Xenopus tropicalis: one gene and its partners. The protein of the gene in region 2 interacts with the protein of the main gene of each other region in a pairwise test. Links are inferred from orthologs where the notes say so. Each region holds a gene or a part of one and is shown on either strand. Other genes may lie near its edges.

Region 1 (3,500 bases), on a different chromosome or scaffold from region 2:
GGCACTGGAATCCTAATATAGTGTGTGGGCGCAGGTAGACCAACCCATGGACAAGTCATTTTGAAAGATATGCCTGTGATTGTATTAAACACTCATGGTTCTTGGGTTTGGAAACCACTATTATAGAGCGTTTTAGATAACAACCTTCTCATTAATGTACGGCTACAAACTCCTCCTCAAGAGCTTACTGTAGTTAGGGGGTAGGTTGATCATGATGGCCTATAAAAGCTTAAAGCAGGGTTTGCGGACACAACAGAGACTGAACCCTATATCAAGTTGGCACTTTAATATCACAGGGGGTACAAGTTAAATTGTATGTGGGCTGCTGGTCTAAAGCCCAGAATACCTTGCTGCTGTCCTTCCTGACCAAGAACGTTGATTCTGCTGTCCATACACTGTTCAGTCCAGATCCTGGTGGGTACATACGACGAGGTGGTGGTGGAGGGGGAGACTTTGTTACTTTATCGTTATCCTGCTCCATTATGGTTTTTACCTCTAGAAAAGATGACGAGAGTCAGATTAGTGGGGAAATGTCAGATGGTATCAGTCACACGTCTTTACATTTAGAGACCACTGCAAGGGGATATTGCTTTGCTTTTGTTTCTTCTTAGTCTTTAATGTCACGTCTATCTCTCAGAGTGTCACTGGTTTGTTTGCTGTACAAGGTGCAACAAGCCATGGGGAGGTGTCCGACAGTAATGAGAGTAAGTGTAACTGGGACTTCATTTAGAATTCCACTGCTAAATCTAATTCTGTTTTATTTGTGCAGATTCTAAACCTTCTGATCCGAGCCGTAGGATTGTAAAGAAAAATTCAGTCTTTTCCCTACAGGCTTTAATCCAACTGGAGAAGCATAAAGCGCTTTTTTAAAAGGCAGCCTATTTAAATGTTAGTGTAGCTTTAGGATATGTGAAATAATATTTGTTTTTCAGGAGCAGATTCAATTATTTCCTTTTTTCATCCCTCAATAGTTGAACAAATCACTATTTGACTCTGCCTGTGATGCCTACCAACCCCAGCAGAGAATAATGAGGGTTTAACCTTCCCAAAACTGCTATATATTCTTATGTAATTAGAAGTTCTCCAGTGGAAAGACTTCTATTGGTTGCCTCCCAAACACATATTTCATCTTCCTTCTCTGATTACAAATGGAAAGTCACCTCTCCCAGATTCAAAGAAACACCCCATATAGAATATAATGTACCTTGAATATTGTCAAGTTATGGAACTGTATTCATGGATATCCCAACAGTATGGCAGCACAGGGAGCTGACACCCAGCACATTGTAAACATATATATAGAACTTCATCCAGAATATAAATGATGTATTTGGACACTTACCCGTGACCTCTTTTTTGTCCACAATCTCCACTTTCTGGGACTGGGCTGGCACCTCTAAGCTGGGAATGGCCTTCATGATACTGGCTTGTGCTTCTTCCAGCATTTTCTCAAATTCCTTTCCGTTATAATGATCAAGATTCTGTCTCTTCTCTTCAAATTTTCTCTCTGCCTCCTGCAGAATATACATACATAGTTAGCTTACAGTCTCTGTATAGGACTACCTACAGGTAAGCTTTATGGCAACATGATTAAGCCTTAAATCCTGAGAATATAACAGGACTATTCTGTAATACAAAGACAGAAAGAGCATTCGTGTCTATATGGGCACCTTCCCAAACTCATTGACTAGGAGACTAGAAGCAAAAAAGCCATTTGGGTGCATTAAACTGGGGAACTAAGGGAACACTGGATAATGGCAGCTATAAAGTATATGTGCACTGTTCCTTGAGCCCAACTCACAAGGTGGAATAGAAATAATTAAGGTGGCCATACACCAGCAGATCCGCTCGCTTGGCGATGTCGCCAAGCGAGTGGATCTTCCCCCGATATCCCCACCTACGGGTGGGCGATATCGGGGAGCATTTAGGTAAAAAAAAAATAATCCGATCGTTTGGCCCTGGGGCCAAACGATTGGATTATGTGGGCGGCAATGGGGCAGTCGGATCGGGGACCGCATCAACGAGCCGATGCGGTCCCCGATCCGACCGGATTTTCTAACCTGGCCGATCGAGATCTGGCCAATTTCAGGCCAGATATCGGTCGGCCAGGCCGCTCTGCCCTGCCCATACACGGGCCGATTAGCTGCCGAATCGGTCCAAGGGACCGATATCGGCAGCTATAGTCGGCCCGTGTATGGCCACCCTAAGGATTAGGGGACATAAAGATGCAGGCACTCTCTCTATGCACAACATTGTCAATATTCATCATCTGCTCTGCACCAACACAAAGTGAAAAGGGGGTTTGTTGGGGAGCGCAGGGGTGTAGGGGGCCCAGTAAGGCCCTCGCCCAGGCCAAACAGCAGGGGGCGTACATGTTACACCTTCATGGTAGTATTAGTATTAAAATTGCCAATACTGAAAAATATCAAATAAATAAAGTGCTCAGAAAAAAAACTAAGGTATATGTAGGGTATATGTCTTTAAGACCAGGACAATATGGTGAAAGTGAACTGTCTATTTCCATGTATTATTAATATCATAAACCCTTCCTAGGAGCTCTGTAGATATCAGGGCCATTGTGGCTCCATTTGCTGCATGGCTGGTCAGTAAATGCGTGCTCAGTTCTACTTTCCCCTTACTTGCTTTGCTTCCTACAGAGATATAAGAATATACCTCAATGGACACCGCTCGGTTCCTGTAAGTCACTTGACTCATTTCCTCAATAAAAAGACTTTGCTTGGAAGATCCTTCCTGTGCGGCCGTCGGTGGGTTCCTCCTTGCACTTTCTGGGGTGACGCTGGGTGGCACGCTGGCAGTTTGATGGCTCACTAGTAATTCTGTGCTGTGACTGCTCTGGGTACTGGGGGCAGGAGTGTGGTTCACGAGTGCAGACGAGTGCTGGGACTGCTGCATGAGAACCGGAGAACTTTGAACTTGATGGACTCTGAGGCCGGCCGACAGGGGAACCACTTCCGATTTAACAGATGTGGTCGGCGATTCCACTGCTGCTCCTCCATCAGTTTGTGTTGGCTGAAGGTACACTTGGGACTTTTCCTCATGGACCTGGAGTGAATCAGTCTCAGTTACTCTTTCTGTTATTAGAACCTGGCTGGTCTGATTGTTGTCAATGGATTTGGAGGATCCGTCAGTGGCGTGTCTATTGGAACACAAAATGGTGGAATTAGACCTGTACAAGTAAACTTCTCAGCACCTGGGCTCATTATTCATTTTAGCAAAAGGAGATTTACCCCTATATGTAATATGGAAGGTAATAAAAGGCACAACATTTGCCCAGGTTTAGTAACCCATAGCAACCAATAAGAAAACAAAACTGCTAATATGTTCAAAACTTGAGAATAATGAATGTAAATATAATGAATGTAAATTGCCAAAGTGTTTAGAAGAGTTTTCTGAGTGATTTAACATTTATGTTGAGGGTTTACATTTCCTTTAACACTTCAGTAACCAATAGAAACCAGTTAGCTGTTAGCCTGACAGGT
Region 2 (4,297 bases):
GTTCCCAATTAGTTTTTGACATCATCTGTGTAAACAAACAAAAACATTGATATGAAGGAGCCCTAACCGTTTGGGGTTAATGCAAAAACATTTGCAATGTTTGATAGGTTCCTGTAACCCACAGCAATCAGTCATCAGTTCATTGTTAGGGGTCCAGTACAACAACAGCAATGAATGAATAATTCATACTGGGAACATATCATAATGCCTACAGTGACCACCACATTCGCTTAGACTTTTTAGTGTGTGTGTTGACACTGCCAGAGTAATTAAAGACAATTACATTCCCAAAGCAACTGGAAAAGGTTTCACATGTTCCAAGAGTTATTAATATTCCGGAGATAATATCACTGGGGCTGCGTGAGACAGAGCACACACTAGCTTAATAAGCAGATTAGTCTCTGTTTTCATTTGAGACTTTCCTTCTCCTGAAGGCTCAGTGATGTCTGTCATATTTCATGAGGTTTATTAAAGACCTGGGACATTATTTACAAAGACCTACTATAAATCATATAAATCCTTGAAATCATGAACAGAGTAATACAGGGGGATAAAAAAAATGACCAAGATACTGTATTAGAATTCATAGAAATCCACTAAGCAATGCATATTGATACAGTCGGTACTATCCTGATCCTTAGCAGAACCAGTAGGGTGCATGCACATCCAGCAGTGAAGATTAGTGTCAGTGTTCTGATTACTCCTACTAGTTAAAGGGATATTTTAAGATAGAAAATGTGCTATAACAGACGTGCTCCTACCAAGGTCCTGCTTCCTTTAGCATGTAACTAGTAGCCTATTTGAATATTACATGTTAGCAAATGCATTATATTAAAAGGCTGAGAAAAAAATGCATTATATTAAAAGCCTGAGAAAAAAAAACAATTTGGAATTTGAGTTACATATTATACTCATTAAAAGCTAGTTAAACAGTACAAATTTTCCATAATACAACACTCTCTGGTTATTAAGGTGCTGGGAACAAGGCAGGTGTCTACAGTTGTCTGGAAGCGCAGAGTGCCCACGCTGCAGTAGAAGGGAGCGCCCAGCACAGGCGACCATGTTGGGACAGTCACATACACAAATGAGTGAGTGCCCCAGCTCACAAGCTCTTCAGAACTAAAATCAAATCCTGCCTGTTGGAGCCCTAGCATAGTATCTGGTGCCAGGTGTGATTCAGAGCTCACTCATTCAGAGTAATGGCTGTACTTATTACTCTCCATGCTTTGTCTGTAAGTTACTCAGCCACATAAATTGTAAACTTTCTAGGCCTGGAACCACCTTCCTCCTGTGTCACTGTTTCCTTGTTGGCTCACTTCTGACTGTCCTGATAATGTACTATAAAAAAGCGTAACACTGCATACACAAATAGCACTTTATAAATAAAGATTTATTCCTAATTATTCCTAATTTACAAAACCAGATGTGAAACCCCTGCTGCTCCCTATAATTGCTGCCTGCTTAGAGTAGTTTGTAGTTGCAGGGCCACTTTAGAGGATAATTTATAGCTGCCTGTGTGGGATGCAGGTTGACCAGTTTTGTTCTCACTTAAAAGACTGGAGAGCTATGAATAAAAACCATCCACAAATACATGTCTGTCACTAACTAACGCCTTAAAAGGCTGCTTGCTATGAGGTGCCACTATGCTTATCTGCAGGGAAGAGCTGTTTTATTAGAGATATGGTATTAATAGCACAGCAAGCAGAAGAATGTCCATCTTCCTAATTATCACACTCATTGTTTAAATAATTCAGTGAGTATCAAAACTCCAAAGGACTTGTCCCAGCCATTTCATTCTCTGACTGGAGGGCAGACCTGGCACACTTTAACCGCAGGTAAGGGTTGTTTTTACTTTGCACAGCAGCTAGAGACATAATATAGTATAATGCATTAAAACTCTCATGTACTTTAAAATGCCTACTGAGGATAAAAAATCAGTTATTTTATTTCACTAATTTTGAAAATGTGTGTGCAACAGGGTCCAGAACTCTAGGTGCTTAAATTGCACTCACGCCACCAAAGCAAGATGGTATTGTGTTATGTTGTAACTTGTAGTTCAGCAATAGCTGGAGAGCCACAGGTTGGAGGTTACTCTAATAAAAAGGCACTTACAATTTTGTTAATAGCACTGCAGTGCAGTTTATCCTTGCAGAGGCACAAACTATAAACAGGATACTCTGGATGAAGTGGAACTGTCTGCCTTATTCTCCTTTAGTACACAAAGCCTGATGGCCAAATAGAATTAAAACTTTCTAGAGACCTAGAATATGTATCTACACAAACCACTGTATGAATTCAAATGCAATGATTTCTTTTGACTGTACTTTTTGGAAAGGAAGCACAACAGTTTATGATAATAATATTATTGATCTCTTATGCTGAATGCTCGGCGTGCTGAATGCTCGGCGTGCTGGACTAGGTGCAACTAAGAAGCAGACCTTGCTTTATATGGTAATAAGAAATAGTGACACATTACTATCTGTTATAGGAACATGTCAGTACAGGTATGGGACCCATTATCCAGGATGCTTTGGACCTGGGGTTTTCCGGATAAGGGGTCTTTCCGTATTTCGGATCTCCTACCTAAAGTCTGCTAAACACATTATTTAAACAGTAATTAAACCCAATAGGATTGTTTTGCCTCCAATAAGGATTGATTATAACTTAGTTGAGATCAAGTACAAGCTACTGTTTTATTATTACAGAGAAAAAGGAAATCATTTTTAAAAATGTGAATTATAGGATTAAAATGGAGTCTATGGGAGATGGCCTTGCCGTAATTTGGAAAGCAGGAACAAGTGCATGCAAGACACTGGATTATTGGAGGGAAGGCAGCTGATTTCGGCAGCAAAATAATGAGAGCTAAAATCAAAAGTACATTCGATTCATTCATTCACGTCGCTGTTCAAAGAATCATAAGCTGCATGCAGAGAGCAGCAAACCAATTTTTTAAAGGGGTAGTTCAACTTTATTTTATCCTTTATTGTGTTATAGAATGTCCTATTCTTATTCAACTGGCCTTTCATTTTTATTTTGTACAGCTTTTGAATTATTTGCCTCTTCTGCCTCTTTCCAGCTTTAAAATGGGGGTCACTGACACTGGCAGCCAAAAAACTATTGCTCTGTGGAGCTATTTTATTGTTATTGATGCTTTTTATTCCTTTGCTTTCTATTCCGTGTCTCTCTTAAATAACCCAAAAAGCACAAAAAATTTCAAAATATCTACATCATACTAAAAGTTAATTTAAGGGTGAACAACCTCTTTAACAGCTGTCTGAATCATTAACCACAGTATGGGATCTGCTTTGGGAAAAATTAAAAATATATTTAAAACAGTCAAACATTCTTATAATAAATGTAAAAAAAAGTTTTAAAAAACAAAACATTTCTGTTGGGAAATATTTGCATGTTAAAGGTGTTTGGATTTTAATTTAATGCCTTGTTATAAAGATACATGAAGAGTAAATGGAAAGATAGAAGCAGGGCACCATACAGTACATACCATTCTGGCAACTAAGCCATGAAATGCTCAGCTTATACGTCTCCATAAAGAGAATCATAACAAGCACCAGACCTTTTGAGTACTGGAATCTTAAGTATAGAAACTGTGACCATGGCAAAGACCGTAGGAATACTCAAATACCCAAATTGTTGTGGAAATGAAATCTGACAATAACATTTGGTGCAATACATTGGATTTTCTCTATTGCTCCTTGGCGTGACAGATAAAATAAAGACAGGGTACCCAGATGAAAGGGAAATCAGTGTCACATCACAGGATTAGCAATAAGGTGTGCAGAGATACAGAGCAGGGCACTGATTTGGAAGACAGAAATAAAACTTGTCTTTAACGAGCCTGTCAGAATGCTTTAGAGATTATGTTGCCATTGACAAGTATAACGACCAGCTAACGGAAGGTATGGGAATTTGCTTTTTGGAGTTTGTGATTGTAATTAAGATGGGAAGAGCTAAGTGCTGCCTTAACACTACTGAGCAGCCGCACATTAGGTTGTGCAATTATCAAGCTAAGCAGCATTGTCAGATCTACACTGGGGTACGAAACCCTTCTCACAAAACAGACAGAATTCTATGAGCTTAGCTACACAGATAAACCGCAACCCAGTATGATCCAATTGTCATTCTCAGACTCTTCAAACACCTGGAAACCTGTGACCCAAACTGAACTTGTCTTTGCAATATATTTGGATGCAGTAAAAGGCAAATTCATTCATTTTCAAACTCTGATGGCTAAATAAATCATTTGATTTTTTTCTAATTTACAGAAAAATGTGGTCAA
Region 3 (4,244 bases), on a different chromosome or scaffold from region 2:
AGGCTGCTGGTGGCTGGTCATCTTTATTGGCCTTCAGCCAGCATTGTTTTGGCAATGCTTGCAAACTTTTCCCAAGCTTGTATAACTTGCAGGCTAATGCCTTGTACACAAAGTTCAAGCACAGTGAGCCGATAAGTGTCTACCCAGGGCCTGGGGAAAGTAAGAGAAGTGTACCATATATCATTACTACTTATATGGCACCCAACTCCTTTTTGTACATTGAGATATGCCTCCTATTTTCTCTAATACATAGTGTTCGCCAACTTTTTTACAAGAAATAGAAAAAAAACATTATCCAAAGTACATAATTAATTATTATTATCATATAAATGTAGCATTTTGATAAACCTTCCCCTTTTCTTAAGTGGCAGATTTTATAATGTTCCTTACTTTTTTGGTCAAGTCAAGCTTGTCTTTGAGTCAGTATTACATATCTTAGAAGCTTATTCTGTACAAACTAAAAACTATAAATTATGCTTTAATATAAATGCAATCAGTAATACAGCATCCTCTTTATGTATGATATTGTATCATGTAAAATCATCATTAGGAAAAGATTGTTAACTGAAGTAGAAGGGTTTGTGCATTTTAGGCTGCAATCTCGGCCAGATTAACAAATTCATCCCCTGCTTAAATACAGGGTGGTCCAGCCACATACATGATATCTAGGTTTCCTATCAAGGGTAAACCCAACACTTGGTCTCTAACTACCCTTCAAGTACGGCATATTGGCATTGTAGAAAAATATGAATTTAGAGTATACATGTTCATTCAATCAACTTGGTCAAAATGAATATATAAAAAAAATACTAGCACACTCAATAATTCCCTGGTGAAGTTGCTAGCTTGATTTAGGCCGTTACTTTGATTAAAATGACAGATAACTTGCTACAGGGCCTTGTGTGGCTCCTATAATGTTCTGTATGTGTGGTCCCATTTAAGAACTGCTTGTTCCGGAACTTAACCCTAGGCATTTAAAGCACAAACCCAGTTGATGGTAATCCAGCCCCCATAAAGCTCAGAACTGGAGCAACACAAGTTTTTTAGTTCACCCATATCCATGTCTGTAAAAATGTGTGCCTTCCGCTTCCAGCAGCTCCATGTAAAAACATACTTCCTACCCCACGACATAAGCAAAAATATGGAAAATAATTACAAATATTACACATTACGGGTCCTAAATTATAAACCCAACATCAATACAACAGAAATGTCTGCTGAAAAATGTTGCTTTCACATTCATTAAACTGGTACAGATACAATTTGGCTTTTGAAAGATCCTGAGAAGCAGCCCATAGTGTGCCAGGTTCAAAGGCTTAGAAAGAGGAATGAGGATGTTAACTGTAGATGGCTGAGGCTTGCCCATTTGACATTTGGGTTGAATCTGCAGAAGGGGGTTCAGTATGAATGGCAGCTCATAGTAAACCTCCATCATTCCTTGCCTGCAATGATAAACTCTGTGCAGCAAGTTGAGGCAACGTTGGTCTTACTTCAATTTTTCTAGCAATGTTGAAAATGGACAAGTAGACACTGCACATTAAAATGCAGACAAATAAATATGTATCCACTTCACTCCTTAATATCTGTTCAGACCATAACATTTGGTTAAAAAACAAACTGATCCCATGAGTAAGAAAGCTATAAAGGGGAAATATATAAAAGAATCATTGGTATAGAATTTTTTACCCACTTTTTCTCAAGTGGAAAACAGATAGGATCTGGTGTTGGAAAGAGACAAAATTTAAAAAAAAAATATGATGTTCACTAGTAACTATTACACTACAATATAATGCAAGGCTTTTTATCCTTGAAGGGGTTTTCTGATGCAGGGATTCCCATGAGCAAAGGGTCATTCTTGGCATGTTCGTCACAGTAACGCATGAGATCGGCTGATGCTTTTGAAACCTAAAACAAAAGAACAAGCTTATTCCAAGATTCCGATATTCTTGATAGAATTTTAGCAATTCTTGATTTTAGAATTCCTGATAGACTTTTCACTAAGGGCGGCTATAAACGTGAAGATACGCTTGTTCGGCAAGGTTGCCAAATGAGCAGATCTTTCATCGATATGCCAACACACACTTAAAGGAACAGTAACACCAAAAAATTTATATATTTTAAAGAAATTAAACTATAATGTACTGCTGCCCTGCACTGGTAAAAATTGTGTGTTTGCTTGAGAAACATTACTTGAGTTTATATAAACCCTGGTGTGTAGCCATTCAAAAGAAGAAAAGGCACAGGTTATATAGCAGCTAACAGATAAACTCTGTAGAATACAATGGTGTCTTATCTGTTATCTGCTATGTAACCTGTGCCTTTTCTCCTTTTTTCCAGCTTGAATGGCTGCCAGCGGGGCTACACAGCAGCTTATTATATAAACTATAGTAGTGTTCCTGAAGCAAACAACAGAGTTTTACCAGTGCAGGCAACAGTATGTTATATTTCAATTACTTTAAAACACTTTCATTTTTTGGTGTTACTGTTCCTTTAACAGTTTAATAGTAAAAACACATAATAAGGATCAGGGATCAAATGCAGCAATTAGTCAAGAGGCTTTAAGGCTTAAAAACAATACTTCTTACAGACAAGAATTTCTTTGTCTTGTAAAGTGGCATATCTGTGTTAACAGTCTGGTCGTATGCAAGTGTTCTTTTAGTTTAATTCAACAACTGTATAGGTCTTTACCTTTACTCTTTCTATGGAGGCCTCCACTTTGAGTTGCTGTACAGTTCTTCGTGCCTGTGCTATGTTATTTGTGCTGGTTGTTTTTGCAGACATCTTTGGTGAGGTCTAAAAAGGTAAGAAGAAAGAACAGGTTGTCCTCTGCTATTCCAAATAATCACAGCATTCCAGAGATACCAGCTTCTTGTACTCCACACACCCAGCCTTTTGGTGCAGTAGAGCTGCAATGTCTGTCTGAGCAATGTGTTGAACAATCTAACAACATAATGGAAAGAATTAAAGGATTGCTCTGTTGAACAGTAACAGTTAAACATTTATAATGCTTTTTTTTTTTTTTAAGTATTAACTTATAGGTATAGTGAAACATTCCAGGTTTTAGCAGGAATGTTTCCGACACTGGTTAGTATTGGGTGAGCTGGGGGAGGCAGGGGCACCTCAGTTAGATAACAAAGTGGCCTCCCCCAGCTCACCCAATACTAACCAGTGTCGGACTCTATCACAGCTTCAAGTTGAACAACTTTCTGATGAAGCGTGGTTGGGGCGTGGGACAAAACTCTGATAAACTGGAGTACAAATGTAAACAGTGTCTCCAGACTATGAGAATACTGTCCTGCCCCCAAGCATGTAATCACTCAGGAATGTGTTTAACTTGAAGCTGCACCAGAGACTGACACAGGTTAGTATGGGGGGAGGCACATAAAAATCAATTAAATAAAAAAAATAGCATCACACTGGATTTAAGTAGGCATAGGGTTTAAAATAGAAACCTGTCACTATCCCTTAAAATGGTCTCAAGCTTGCTTCTTGCTAAAGGTGGCCATACACGTGGCGATCCGACGATGTTTCGTACGACCATCGGTCGTACCGATGTATGGTGGCCATACACGCACCGATATTATCGTACGAAACCTCGTTTCGTACGATAATCGGTGCGTGTATGGCATGTCAGCGAGCCGACCGATATCGCAGGAAACTGCTGAAATCGGTCGGCTCGCCGATCGGCCAAGTTAGAAAATTTTGATCGGGCGCCATAGAAGGCGCCTGACCAAAATTCTCCCTTCAGAGCTGAATCGGCAGAAGGAGGTAGAAATCCTATTGTTTCTACCTCCTTACCTGCCGATTCAGCCCTGAATGGTGTGTGGCGGATCTGACGATGTTTCGTGCGACCGACGGTCATACGAAACATCGTGAGATCGCCACGTGTATGGCCAGCTTTAGGGTTACTAGATTACTCAGAAGCACTTGAGAGTTTTTGCTTGATGCAGCCCTGACCGCAATAATCCTTTTATTCTGTTTAGCGATACAGAGAATAGAATATGCTTTTAGTATTGTACATACATCAATAAACACAGCTGCTTTTTTTACTCACAAATGGAACTCTCATAGCTGATGATCTTAAACAGGCTACAGATATGCGCTTTTACTTGTCACATAACTTACTAGCATCCAGTGAAAATTACCCAACTGCAATGCATTTACAATCAGACAGTAAAGGAAATCTATACCCCTGAACAATGTAAGTCTTTATAAACAGCTCATATGTAAAACACTACTAAATC
Region 4 (4,182 bases), about 25 Mb from region 2:
GGGGTTGCAGGATCATCATTTGTCAAAAAAAGATATGCTGTTCACATGAAAGGTGAGCAACTGCATTTATACATATCTATCAGGCTAGCGTGAGCTATCTGAAGCAAAATGTAAGGACTCAGTACAGGTATGGGACCTGTTATCCAGAATGCTTGGGACCTGGGGTTTTCTGGATAAAGCGTCTTTCCATAATTTGAATGTCCATACCTAAGTCTACAAAAAATAATTTAAATATTAATTAAATATGGATTCATGTAGCTTTGTTTGAATCAAGAACAAGTTACTGTCTTATTATTACAGAGAAAGAGGAAATCATTTTTTAAACTTTGAATTATTTGATTAAAATGGAGTCTATGGGAGATGGCCTTCCTGTAATTTAAAACTTTTTGGATAACGGATTCCATACCTGAGTCTGAATAGCAAGGTGACATGAGACATGAGTATAATCCAGAGGTCAGGACAGGACAAGACAGGCAACAGGTATATGTAATCAAATAATAGTGCACCCAAGAAATGATGGGAATGAAGAATGGAGTGTGGAATTCTTGTTTTTTAGGGAAAGTCAGACTAAAATCACCAGTGCTGTAATTTTCATGTGATTACAGACACAAAGGGGCAAACTCACAAAATATGAGTTTAAAGCTTAATACATAAAATCTTCCACGTGCTTTTCATTCCTATGGGATTTTTAGCAATGTATTTATCAATGGGTGAAAGTTAGAACTCCCCATCTGATAAATAAGCTTCTAAAAATCTATTAGGAATGAATAGAACATGGGTGAGTTTTAATGTATTAAGCTCTAAACTCACACTTTGATAAATCTGTCCATTAACACTTTGGGACAGATAATGATTTATCAAAATGTGACATTAGAGCTCAAACCAGAAAAATTCACCCACTTTAGGTCACTGGACCTAAATACGCCCCTATATCCAAGTAAAAACTTGCCTGGGTACAGTCCAATACAAATGAACACCACAGTAAAAATCTGTACTCATAGGACTGGAATGAAGCCAACAGGTGAACCTTTTTTTCACAAATATCTATATGTATATGTACTGAATACAATTTACACAATTGAGTAACAGCATATCTCCATGTATGCCATCTTAATCCTGACAGATTCTAAGAAGAAATTATACCCACATTTAAGACCAATTTATATTGCTTGATTTTTTAACAGAAACTGTTGTAATATAAAATAATCACCCATCAAATTATAAATACTAATCACTAATTTCCTAGGTGTTTACATACAAAAACAATATGAATACAAAAAGCTAGAAATCATCTCTATTAAAGTCTCAGAAACACATTGCATCAAATCTATAAAAATCATGTAATATCTCTTCAAAAATTCAGATACAAACAGGAGGGAATACAGGACAACAGTAAATTATATGTGGGTGGCTTTAGAAGAAGGATATTTTGGGCAACAGCATGGCTATGCTTATATTTAGCTTTTACTGGTGACAAAAATGCAGAGCAGGAAAACATGAAAGAATCCTAATGATGTCATTCTGTCATTTGTGCCTGTCCCTTACAGCATGGCCCATGAAAGCTCACAGGTGGCATGGACCATAAGGGTCATTTATGACCGCAAATGCAGTGTGCCATTCTGAATACATTATCGCCTTGTATTTTACCTAGAATGCAGCATTTTTACTATAATTCCAGTTTAATTATAGTTGCGATGAAAATACCTGTACTTTAGGTGCAACTCCACTGCACAAATCAATTCTGGCTACAGCAGGAACCATGGAGCTACACAGGGTTCCCCTGTGTCAATTGGCACAGTTGTGCTTAATTTATTCAAACAGACTGACCAGGCACAATTGCACTAAGGTTAATATAAAGATGAACAGCACACATCATACTTATCGTAGAAAATTACTGATTCAATAAACGTGATTACTTGCACTTAGAAAGCTGTGCAGTGCTAAGCTTTAGTAGTACATATATTATGGGCCAGAAAGAAGTCACAGAAGATTACAGGATGGTCTATCAAAACTGATTCCCAATCTGGTATTAATGCCCAGCTAGCTGCACACTATACTCAAACTTGGCCAAACTGCCCAACCAAATCTCGGTATGTAAGGCCAGCTTTGGTATGATGAAATATTAAACCATATAAATTACCCTGAGATGGGAACACTGGGGCTCACTGGTTAGCTCTGATGCCGCATTCTAAAAATATACAGGCAAGTTATGTGGCTTCTGATAAAACTAACTCTATTGTGTGATTTAGGGATGTCACTCTATAGTACAAGCTGCACTGGGGATGCTGTTAATAAAGAAAAACATTCTAAAAAGTAATTCAGAGAACATCTATTCTGCATTCTTTTGTACTCCACATATACAGATATAGCAGGGTCTGCCCCTAGGAACTCTACATCATAGCAAAATCACTCACCAGCTCACAGGGTCAGGATTTAGTTGTCTGTGAAGGGCCACTGAGAAGCCAAATAAGCTGTCCTTTTCCCCATCCTTGGTCAGTGTGTTGGTGACATCCAGATTGAAGGCATGGATCCTGAGCACAGCGAGCAGTAACAGGCAGGAGAAGCAGAGGGGAGCACCCAGTTCCGCAGGCATTCTGCAGTCTCTCCCGTGGGTGATGAACTAGAAAGAAACTGTGCACCGTTTCTCTTCTAATGACCCCCAGGCAAGGAATATCATTTACTAAATCAACCCCAAGCCTTGTCCACTGCTGTCATACAAACATGACAAAGTGAGGACACAGAGACTAAGGAGTAAAGTGTTGATCAGGCAGAGTGCAGCATTCACATAGTGACAAGCCCCCTCTTGCTTCAGAACTCTAGAGAGTGCAGGGAGGTGGGATGGGAGGGAGCAGGTGGAAAGAGACATCCAAAGTAGTTTACAGTTTCTTTATTTAACAAAAATAGAATAGTGTTGCACTGGCCCAATAAATGAGGTAAGTCCCCTGATCTAACTGCAAGTGTTGTGTGGTCTCTTTTTTAATTTATAGAAAGTAACAGAGACAACAGAGAGTCAAACTATCTTCTATGGCATGAATACCCACTTACAGAACATTTGTGCCATACTGCTAGCTAGAAATTAGGTGGGGGCTTTGCCATTTGGTGATGTCAGTTCTTATACTACAAAATGCTTTAAAGAGTTTCTGACACCAGAAATGAAACCTTTTTTACATCTATCATAACATTGTCTTTGCATGAGCTTTATAATTTTGCCATACAAGTATTTGCTGATGATTTTACATTCCTTATCTGATCCCCCATGTTCCTCTATGAGGGGGCTGCCATATTTGTGCAGCAGTAGGCCGTTTGCATTAGGAGCTGTAACTGAAGGCCAAGAAGGGACAGTCAGGTTGGCAACTTCAAGTAACAATTACATACAAAACCAGCCCTAACAGTGAAAAAAGATAAACATAACCTATAGGTAACTTTTTAAGTAGATTCATAATTTGAAAAGTCATTTTTTCATGTCAGTATCACTTTAATGATGCAGGTTCTCTGCATCATTAAGTGTGAGATACCTAAGCCCAACTCATCTTGCAGTGATCTGATGGCTCTGCTGGTTGTATGCTCGGAACTGTGCATTGCACTCAAGTAAATGTTTCAGTGCTGTACAACTGTATCTAGTTTGTGCAACTTTGTCATATCTCTGAAATAAAGTTTGCTTATAGTTGTTATATGTAAGCTTACATAGCAACATTTTGCTGATAGCCAGAGGTCACATCTAATACAATCTCATGCTTGTCATTCCAATGGGCAGTTAGCTCTCTCCCTTTCTGCACTAGCTCACTCACAATCCTTCTCTTTATTCCTGCTCCAGCTCACTCACAATCCTGCTGTCTATTCCTGCTCCAGCTCACTCACAATCCTGCTGTCTATTCCTGCTCCAGCTCACTCACAATCCTGCTGTCTATTCTTGCTCCAGCTCACTCATAATCCTGCTCTCTATTCCTGCTCCAGCTCACTCATAATCCTGCTCTCTATTCCTGCTCCAGCTCACTCACAATCCTGCCCTCTATTCCTTCTTCAGCTCACTCATAATCGTGCTCTCTATTCCTGCTCCAGCTCACTCACAATCCTGCTCTCTATTCCTTCTTCAGCTCACTCACAATCCTGCTCTCTATTCTGTCTTCAGCTCACTCACAATCCTGCTGTCTATTCCTGCTCCAGCTTACTCACAAATCCTGC
Region 5 (4,036 bases), on a different chromosome or scaffold from region 2:
GTCTAGAAAACCTCCCAGAATTCCTCTCCCAGATTCTTTCAATCACCTAAAGCAACTGTTAATCTTTTGGGCTCAATGTGCCGCTGTCTCCTCTGGCAGCGAGAAGGGAAAACACAAAGCCCGTGGCCATGAATCATTTCAAATGATGGGCTCACTCCTGGCACTGTCCTTAGAATGCCTGGCACAGTGACGGAGCGAAAGCTTTATATGTGGGCGGGGGCACTATCTACTAAATAAAGCGCACAAAGTCCACTACTGTAAAAAGCCAAACACTGATATATGTGACTTTGTTAAAGTGACGGCAATGGAAAAGCCCATTAACTGAGACAATATTTGTCGAAAACGTAACTTCCTCCTAAGTGAACGCAACCCCTAGAACTCCCATAAAAACGCACAAATGAAATGACAATGTATCAAAATGTTACGTACATGTATTCTGTAATTCTGCTTTGTGGGTCGATGCTTTACGCCGCCCAAATTACAGATATTTAATGACTTGATCTGCTTGGCCAGAAGCAACATTTGTGCTGTGTGTGTCTGTGACTGGGGGCCACAATGGATCGGAGAATGTCGTTTCCCCCTCAGGGAAGAGTCTGTGCTGTGTAACGCCACTCCCTCACTACATACTGGGATGTCAGGTCGTGGGGAGGGGGGAGGTCACATTGTGTATTGTCATACCGCTGTTTGGTGGGGCAGGGGTGGGTTGCCTGCGTCTGCACAATAGATTTTGTATTTATATACAGTATAAGGTTAGTTACTAAATATTCCATTATAGGGTTAAGCCAATATAAACCCCCCTCCCAATTATGACCAAGTTGGACCTACTCAAAGGATATCTGCGCGAAAGTCAGCTACATGTGGTCGGTAAATCCAGTCGGGCAAGGACCCTTCTCAGCTTGAAACCCAGTAGTTGCCAGTTGGGTCTATCAGACCAGTTTGGGTGGCTTAATGGGGTAATTCTCCGCTTATTTAGCAACCTCACCAAACGAGTAGATCTTGCGGTGGGTGTATGGGCAGCTCTACAGTGTATGGATAAAGGATTACTGCTAGATAAACAGGTTATGCTAACGAGGGCAGAATCCAATGGCCATATATTGTTACACTACAATTCCCATGATGCACCAACAGCCTTCAGCTGGCAGCTGTAGCGAAAAGCACAGTACATGCTTTATCCGCCGTAGTAGCAAGTCCAACCTGCTCTCCCATAGGCATTAATAGAAGAAATCATCACTTGCTATGAAGGCTGGAATAATGACACAATGTAGCAATACACAGGAACAGAGCAGCACAACAGGAGGTATTTAAGAAACAACAACAAACATTCAGACAGAGAGAGAGACTTTCCCTCCATGGGATCAGTGTGGATGGGTGTAGCCAGTATATACATTTGCCTGGGGTAAATACAAAGGTAACACATGAGGTGATAGGGGAAGGGTGAGAAGAGCAAGCACAGGAGGGGTTAAATGAGCAGGTGTTACACCAGTGAAGGGGTTACAACAAGGAGAGAAAGGGTTAACCCATAGATAAGGAACAGGCTGAAATATAAGGGGAAACTGAGAATATTATTTTTTTTTTTTAGGGACTAATAGTGATGGGCAGCAAGCAGTGAGGCATATGGACTATCCCAAGCTATCATTTACAGCAGGTTAGCTGCCATAGAATACTGAGAGTTGCAGTTCAGCAGCAGCAAGGCATATGGACTATCCCAAGCTATCATTTACAGCAGGTTAGCTGCCATAGAATGCTGAGAGTTGCAGTTCAGCAGCAGTGAGGCAATGGACTATACCCAGTTATCATTTGTAGCAGGTTAGCTGCCATAGAATGCTGAGAGTTGCAGTTCAGCAGCAGCAAGCAGTAAGGCATATGGACTATCCCAAGCTATCATTTCTAGCAGGTTAGCTGCCATAGAATGCCGAGAGTTGCAGTTCAGCAGCAGTGAGGCAATGGACTATACCCAGCTATCATTTCTAGCAGGTTAGCTGCCATAGAATTCTGAGAGTTGCAGTTCAGCAGCAGTGAGGCAATGGACTATACCCAGCTATCATTTCTAGCAGGTTAGCTGCCATAGAATTCTGAGAGTTGCAGTTCAGCAGCAGTGAGGCAATGGACTATACCCAGCTATCATTTCTAGCAGGTTAGCTGCCATAGAATGCTGAGAGTTGCAGTTCAGCAGCAGTCAGGCATATGGACTATCCCAAGCTATCATTTCTAGCAGGGTAGCTGCCATAGAATGCTGAGAGTTGCAGTTCAGCAGCAGTCAGGCATATGGACTATCCCAAGCTATCATTTCTAGCAGGTTAGCTGCCATAGAATTCTGAGAGTTGCAGTTCAGCAGCAGTGAGGCAATGGACTATACCCAGCTATCATTTCTAGCAGGTTAGCTGCCATAGAATTCTGAGAGTTGCAGTTCAGCAGCAGTGAGGCATATGGACTATACCCAGCTATCATTTCTAGCAGGGTAGCTGCCATAGAATGCTGAGAGTTGCAGTTCAGCAGCAGTCAGGCATATGGACTATCCCAAGCTATCATTTCTAGCAGGGTAGCTGCCATAGAATACTGAGAGTTGCAGTTCAGCAGCAGCAGCTCAGAGACTAGGAAAGCTAAGCCCGAACCAACAGCCCTACAGGCTCCATAGGAGGAAAGAGAAGGCGCTTCAGGCTAGAGGCAGGGAAGGACACGCCATAGACCAAGAGATGCCAGTCTCCCCAGCCCGCCCCAGCCCACACACACAGCGATAATGGCAGCTCCTTACCCTGCGTTGTGAAGCGCTGGAAGAGGCCTCTGTATCCCCACAATTCAGTCAGGAACTCGCCCAGACCTGAACACTCCAACAACTAAGCCCTACACCGAGCTGTCAGCAGCACCCCCCACCCAACCAGCAACGCCCCGCCCCCCAGCCTGACAATAACCACTGCCCGGCCGTCTCTTGCTTTCAATTGGAAAACATGTGAATCAGTCACAACGCCCAGTCCTTCCCAAACGCCCACCCCACGAAGCCCACACTTTCCCCATTGGCTGCCTTCGCTGGCAATCATTCTTGTGTTTCACTCCATGCCTATTGTAATCTGCGATTGGGCACAAGTTGGGAAGGTGAACTCTGATTGGAGGAGTTCTATATCAATCCAAATAACGCCGTCCAATAGCTGCGGAGGGGGGCATTGCCCGCAGACACGGGTGTGACCTGTAATGCCCTCCTTTAAATGACGTTATGGGCTTCACCTGTGCAGGTGAGTCAGGCAGAAAGAGAGAGACAAGGGCAGCAGACAGGGAGGGGAGGTGTGAGCTGTAGTTTCTGTTATGGAGGTTTTTATAGGGCAACTGGTGCTGAGTAGGGGCGTATTCAGGGGCTTCTGATACGCAAGCCTTCCATTCTGTCAGGAGAACAAGAACACTACAAAGTCTCTTTATTATTAGTTCAACTCATTTCTGCTTTCCTTATTATAAGTGTTCCCTTATTGTGAGACTATACTATCTGATGGCAACTCTCCAGCTATTGGACTACAACTCCCAGCATGCCTTGACAGCCTATGTTTCCACACATTAAGAGATTCCCTTACAGTACAGCTTTGAAATAGTACATATTAGCCTCTGTACTCTGTACAGCAGGGGCCCTCAAACTCAAACAGGGGGCCAGTTCACGGTCCCTCAGACTGTTGGGGGGCTAGTCTTCAAACTACGCCTGCGTCCTCACCCCTGGCTACTACCTGTCTGCCTCGGCGTAGTCCCAGTGGGGGGCTGGGTAAATGACCTTGGGGGGCCATTGGCCTGCGGGCTGTAGTTTGAGGACCCCTGAACTACAGCTACCCATAACAGTTGATGGTGAGTGCTGGGAGTTGTAGTTTAGGCTGCTAATCGCTGCTTTTTGCTTTATATCTAGTTATGCTTAAACCATACGCTGACATCAATACAATGTCTGGTAGCTAAATGACTACATTAGGATGTAATTATGAAACAGATCAATCCCACCCCTGCCCCACCAAACAGTGGAATGACAATACACCGTGTCACCTCCCCCTCCCTACGACCTGACATCCCA
Region 6 (4,287 bases), on a different chromosome or scaffold from region 2:
CATTACTTATACAGTTCTGTATGTAATATGCAACATACGTGTGTACATACCCATTACTTGTACAGTTCTGTATGTAACATACGTGTGTACCTGCCCATTACTTGTACAGTTCTGTATGTAATATGTAACATACGTGTGTACATACCCATTACTTGTACAGTTCTGTATGTAATATGTAACATGCGTGTGTACCTGCCCATTACTTGTACAGTTCTGTATGTAATATGTAACATGCGTGTGTACCTGCCCATTACTTGTACAGTTCTGTATGTAATATGTAACATGCGTGTGTACCTGCCCATTACTTGTACAGTTCTGTATGTAATATGTAACATGCGTGTGTACCTGCCCATTACTTGTACAGTTCTGTATGTAATATGTAACATACGTGTGTACCTGCCCATTACTTGTACAGTTCTGTATGTAATATGTAACATGCGTGTGTACCTGCCCATTACTTGTACAGTTCTGTATGTAATATGTAACATATGTGTGTACATACCCATTACTTGTACAGTTCTGTATGTAATATGTAACATACGTGTGTACCTGCCCATTACTTGTACAGTTCTGTATGTAATATGTAACATACGTGTGTATCTGCCCATTACTTGTACAGTTCTGTATGTATGTAACATACGTGTGTACCTGCCCATTACTTGTACAGTTCTGTATGTAATATGTAACATGCGTGTGTACCTGCCCATTACTTGTACAGTTCTGTATGTAATATGTAACATACGTGTGTACCTGCCCATTACTTGTACAGTTCTGTATGTAATATGTAACATACGTGTGTACCTGAGCATTGTACACTGTCACAGAACATGTTAGCACTTTATAAACATCCAACCTGCGGCAGTACAAACCTGTGGCCGCCCTAGTATGCCCTGCACGGTTGGTGGGATGTAGTTTAACAAGAGCTGGACCTACTCAGTGCAGCCACCATCCCCCCTGTACGTTTGGCCAATGCTTGCTGCCTATCCCCCCCCATGGGATCCCTAAGGAAACTGCTGCCTTTGTTTTCCCTACAGCCGAGCGTGTAACGCGCAGAGGATGCGGGAAATGGTCGCTTTGGTACCCCAGCCTCCCACACCCATCTAAAACCCCAAACTCCCCTCACTTCACTTTCATTTCAGCAGGGAGGTCAGAGGCCGAAGTGACGTCAGTTCCCGCGCTATGGATGCTGGGAAGCCGAGGCGCCCGCCCTTTCCCCCCCACAGCCATCGACAGACTGGAGGAGGTGGAGGCCGCGGGCAGCCTATCTCGCTGTAGCCGGTAAGTGACTGAGAAACTAACGCAGCTTCTCCTCCGCGTCACTGGCGGCTAGCGCATCTCCCTCACAACCACATGTTATAAGGCCGCCTGCCTGCATGGGGGCGATTTTTCTTTATGCGCGATTTGATGACGTAATAGTGGCCGGCTGGCGCCGCAGTATATACTGAGGGAGACGAGAGGCCGTTTCCGGGTGGTGGGCTAGTCACAAGCGATGTAACTTAGTAACTGGGTACATTAGAGGACAGGTCACTGCATTATTTTTTTGGCTCCGCTCCCGTTTCTCTGTTTTAGTTTCACGGCCCGGAGGCAGGCACTGGGTGGTCAGAACAGGCCTTCCGGTGTTTAAGGCGGAGACGCAATTGGCCAGGTTGTTGACATGATGGATGGACGGACGCCCAATAGGAAGCGAGAGGGGAGGGACCAGTGGTTAAGCTGGCTGAGGGCGTTGCATGGAGTTAGTAAGGGAAGGGGAGGGGCCAGCGCTCACTCGTGTAGTTTCCCAGCAGCATCACAAACAGTCAGAGAGTTCTTTTAGTTAAAAGCGACACACTCCGAATTTTACTCGATCTTTAGAGTTTTAGTTACGTGATTTGCCGTGATTTCCCAAACTCCAGAACGTAAAAAGAATGTCACCTTTATTAATATTAGCCTGCCTTATTTTATTCGCCTCATCAATGAGATACGTGAAGTAAAAGTGTGCAGGGAATACCATGGGAAAGGGCAGTCTGCCATTCTAAATAACGTTTCCACATGCATTCATTACATTTTCAGTGGCCATTGGGAAATGGTTTCAGCAATACACTCACTGATCACACACGGGTAGGAATAGGGGGCTCCAGCTTAAAGGAACAGTAGCACTAAAAAATGAAAGAGCTTTAGTAATACAAATATAATGCACTGTTGCCCTGCACTGGTACAACTGGTGTGTTTGCTACAGTAAAGGCCCCCATACACAGGCCGATTATAGTTGCCGATATGGGTCCCTTGGACCCATATCGGCCCGTGTAGGGGCAGAACCGAGGGGCCTGGCCGACCAATATCTGGCCTGAGATTGGCCAGATATCGATCGGCCATGTTTGAAAATCCAGTCAGATCGGGGATCGCATCGGCTCGTTGATGCGGTCCCCGAACCGACTGCCCCATCGCCTACATGCCTCCCCGATATCGCCACACGTAGGTGGGGATATCGGGTGAAGATAAGCGAGCGGATCTGCCCGTGTATGGCCAGCTTTACACTACTATAATTTATATAATAAGCTGGTGTAGCTCCGGGGGAAAAAGGAGAAAAGCTTATCGGCCCGTGTAGGGGCAGAACCGAGGGGCCTGGCCGACCGATATCTGGCCTGAAATTGTCCAGATATCGATCGGGCAGGTTAGAAAATCCAGTCTGATCGGGGACCGCATCGGCTCGTTGATGCGGTCCCCGAACCGACTGCCCCATTGCCACGTGAAGAATTCGATCGTTTGGCCCCAGGGCCAAATGATCGAATTCGCCTACATGCCTCCCCGATATCGCCACCCGTCGGGTGAAGCGAGCGGATCTGCCCGTGTATGGCCAGCTTTACACTACTATAATTTATATAATAAGCTGGTGTAGCTCCGGGGGAAAAAGGAGAAAAGGCACAGGTTACATAGCAGATAACAGATAAGTTCTGTAGAATACAATAGTGTTTTATCTGTTATCTGCTATGTGCCTGTGCCTTTTCTCCTTTGAATGGCTGCCTCCATGGCTACACAGCAGCTTATTTATATAAATTATAGTAGACTTTCTGAAGTAAACACACAACTTTTACCAGTGCAGGGCAGCAGCACATTATATTTTAGTTACTTTTATACACTTTAATTTTTTGGTGTTACTGTTCCTTTAAAGGACAACAATGTCCAATTCACTGGTGCCAATATGTAAAGCATCCCCCCGGTGAATATAGTCACTAAGGTTATTTCTCCGGGCTGCTCCTAGGGAAAAATACATGCCCCCCCAGGTGCATTCTGCAGGTCTTATTAACACAATGGGGCACATTTACTAATCCACGAACGTCCGAATGCGTTTTTTTCGTAATGATCAGTATTTTTGCTACTTTTTTGGCGCCTTCACGATTTTTTCCGTATTTTTCGCAACTTTTTCGTCGCCGTTACGACTTTATCGTATTTTTTCCGCGACTTTTTCGTCGCCGCCGCGAAAAATTTGGATTGGTTTTTCCGCCGTTTACAATTGCTCAATACGAAAAAATCACAACGGCTACGAAAAAATCGTGACCGCGACGAAAAAGTCGCAAAATTTTCGTTTCCAATACGATTTTTTTCCCTTTCGGGATTCGGATTCGTGGATTAGTAAATCTGCCCCAATGCCTCGTGCAGCAGGGAAAAGTGGCAAAAAAAAAAAAATTTTTTTTTTTTTTTTGCACATTGTAAATGAGCCCTATTCTCTTTTTATTTTTTTTCCCCCAAACTTAAGTAGAGGTTATTATCTGGAATGCTTGGGAACTGTTTTTTTCCTGTAATTTCAGACCAGCATTTAGCTGCTGCCTGTCGGTGCTGAGGTTCTAGGTTCAGTTCCAGTTCCAGTCCCAATTTACTTTTTCTTGTTTCAGACAAGCTGTCACGGTATGGAAGCAGAGGAGACGATGGGTTGCATTCAGGAGTTCCCAGACCATTACAAAGTGATGTTGGACAGACTAAATGAACAGCGAGAACTTGATCAGTTTACTGACATCACATTAATAGTGGATGGTATGTATGTTGCTCCCGCCATTTATAACGCGTTATATCATTGTTGCTTGATTCATTCGTCAGCCTGTTTATTCACAAGTATTCATTTATGTATTTGGGTTGTTGAGTTTATGGATCGTGCTTTTAAGCATCTATTTTTTACCTTGTCTTGCCCAGGTCATCAGTTCAAAGCTCACAAGGCCGTTCTTGCTGCATGCAGTCACTTCTTCTACAAGTTTTTTCAAGATTTCACTCAGGAGCCATTAGTGGAAATTGAAGGTATTTCAGTCCTTGTTGTTC

Evidence for each region.
Region 1: the proteins of fhl2 (region 2) and kiaa1217 interact in binary tests that used the Homo sapiens proteins (3 or more experiments, as listed by UniProt). The two-hybrid records come from large-scale screens. The link is inferred for Xenopus tropicalis from reciprocal best matches to the Homo sapiens genes FHL2 and KIAA1217.
Region 3: the proteins of fhl2 (region 2) and gng12 interact in binary tests that used the Homo sapiens proteins (3 or more experiments, as listed by UniProt). The link is inferred for Xenopus tropicalis from reciprocal best matches to the Homo sapiens genes FHL2 and GNG12.
Region 4: the proteins of fhl2 (region 2) and itga7 interact in a two-hybrid assay, tested with the Homo sapiens proteins (2 studies listed by BioGRID and IntAct). The link is inferred for Xenopus tropicalis from reciprocal best matches to the Homo sapiens genes FHL2 and ITGA7.
Region 5: the proteins of fhl2 (region 2) and jup interact in binary tests that used the Homo sapiens proteins (3 or more experiments, as listed by UniProt). The two-hybrid records come from large-scale screens. The link is inferred for Xenopus tropicalis from reciprocal best matches to the Homo sapiens genes FHL2 and JUP.
Region 6: the proteins of fhl2 (region 2) and znf131 interact in binary tests that used the Homo sapiens proteins (3 or more experiments, as listed by UniProt). The two-hybrid records come from large-scale screens. The link is inferred for Xenopus tropicalis from reciprocal best matches to the Homo sapiens genes FHL2 and ZNF131.

The regions. Positions count from the first base shown.
Region 1 is NC_030682.2:25,946,418-25,949,917, forward strand, and holds part of kiaa1217 (sickle tail protein homolog), read right to left. Parts: intron 3,158-3,500; coding exon 2,674-3,157; intron 1,515-2,673; coding exon 1,343-1,514; intron 496-1,342; coding exon 347-495; intron 1-346. UniProt on the Homo sapiens protein: Required for normal development of intervertebral disks.
Region 2 is NC_030678.2:111,734,304-111,738,600, reverse strand, and holds the start of fhl2 (four and a half LIM domains protein 2), read left to right. Parts: upstream 1-1,497; 5' UTR 1,498-1,835; intron 1,836-4,297. UniProt on the Homo sapiens protein: May function as a molecular transmitter linking various signaling pathways to transcriptional regulation. Negatively regulates the transcriptional repressor E4F1 and may function in cell growth.
Region 3 is NC_030680.2:83,489,026-83,493,269, reverse strand, and holds the start of gng12 (guanine nucleotide-binding protein G(I)/G(S)/G(O) subunit gamma-12), read right to left. Parts: upstream 2,801-4,244; 5' UTR 2,782-2,800; coding exon 2,689-2,781; intron 1,906-2,688; coding exon 1,780-1,905; 3' UTR 1-1,779. UniProt on the Homo sapiens protein: Guanine nucleotide-binding proteins (G proteins) are involved as a modulator or transducer in various transmembrane signaling systems.
Region 4 is NC_030678.2:137,071,635-137,075,816, forward strand, and holds the start of itga7 (integrin alpha-7), read right to left. Parts: upstream 2,801-4,182; 5' UTR 2,594-2,800; coding exon 2,415-2,593; intron 1-2,414. UniProt on the Homo sapiens protein: Integrin alpha-7/beta-1 is the primary laminin receptor on skeletal myoblasts and adult myofibers.
Region 5 is NC_030686.2:7,366,675-7,370,710, reverse strand, and holds the start of jup (junction plakoglobin), read right to left. Parts: upstream 2,801-4,036; 5' UTR 2,753-2,800; intron 1-2,752. UniProt on the Homo sapiens protein: Common junctional plaque protein. The membrane-associated plaques are architectural elements in an important strategic position to influence the arrangement and function of both the cytoskeleton and the cells within the tissue.
Region 6 is NC_030677.2:195,028,561-195,032,847, reverse strand, and holds the start of znf131 (zinc finger protein 131), read left to right. Parts: upstream 1-1,487; 5' UTR 1,488-1,654; coding exon 1,655-1,732; intron 1,733-3,869; coding exon 3,870-4,008; intron 4,009-4,164; coding exon 4,165-4,266; intron 4,267-4,287. UniProt on the Homo sapiens protein: Plays a role during development and organogenesis as well as in the function of the adult central nervous system. May be involved in transcriptional regulation as a repressor of ESR1/ER-alpha signaling.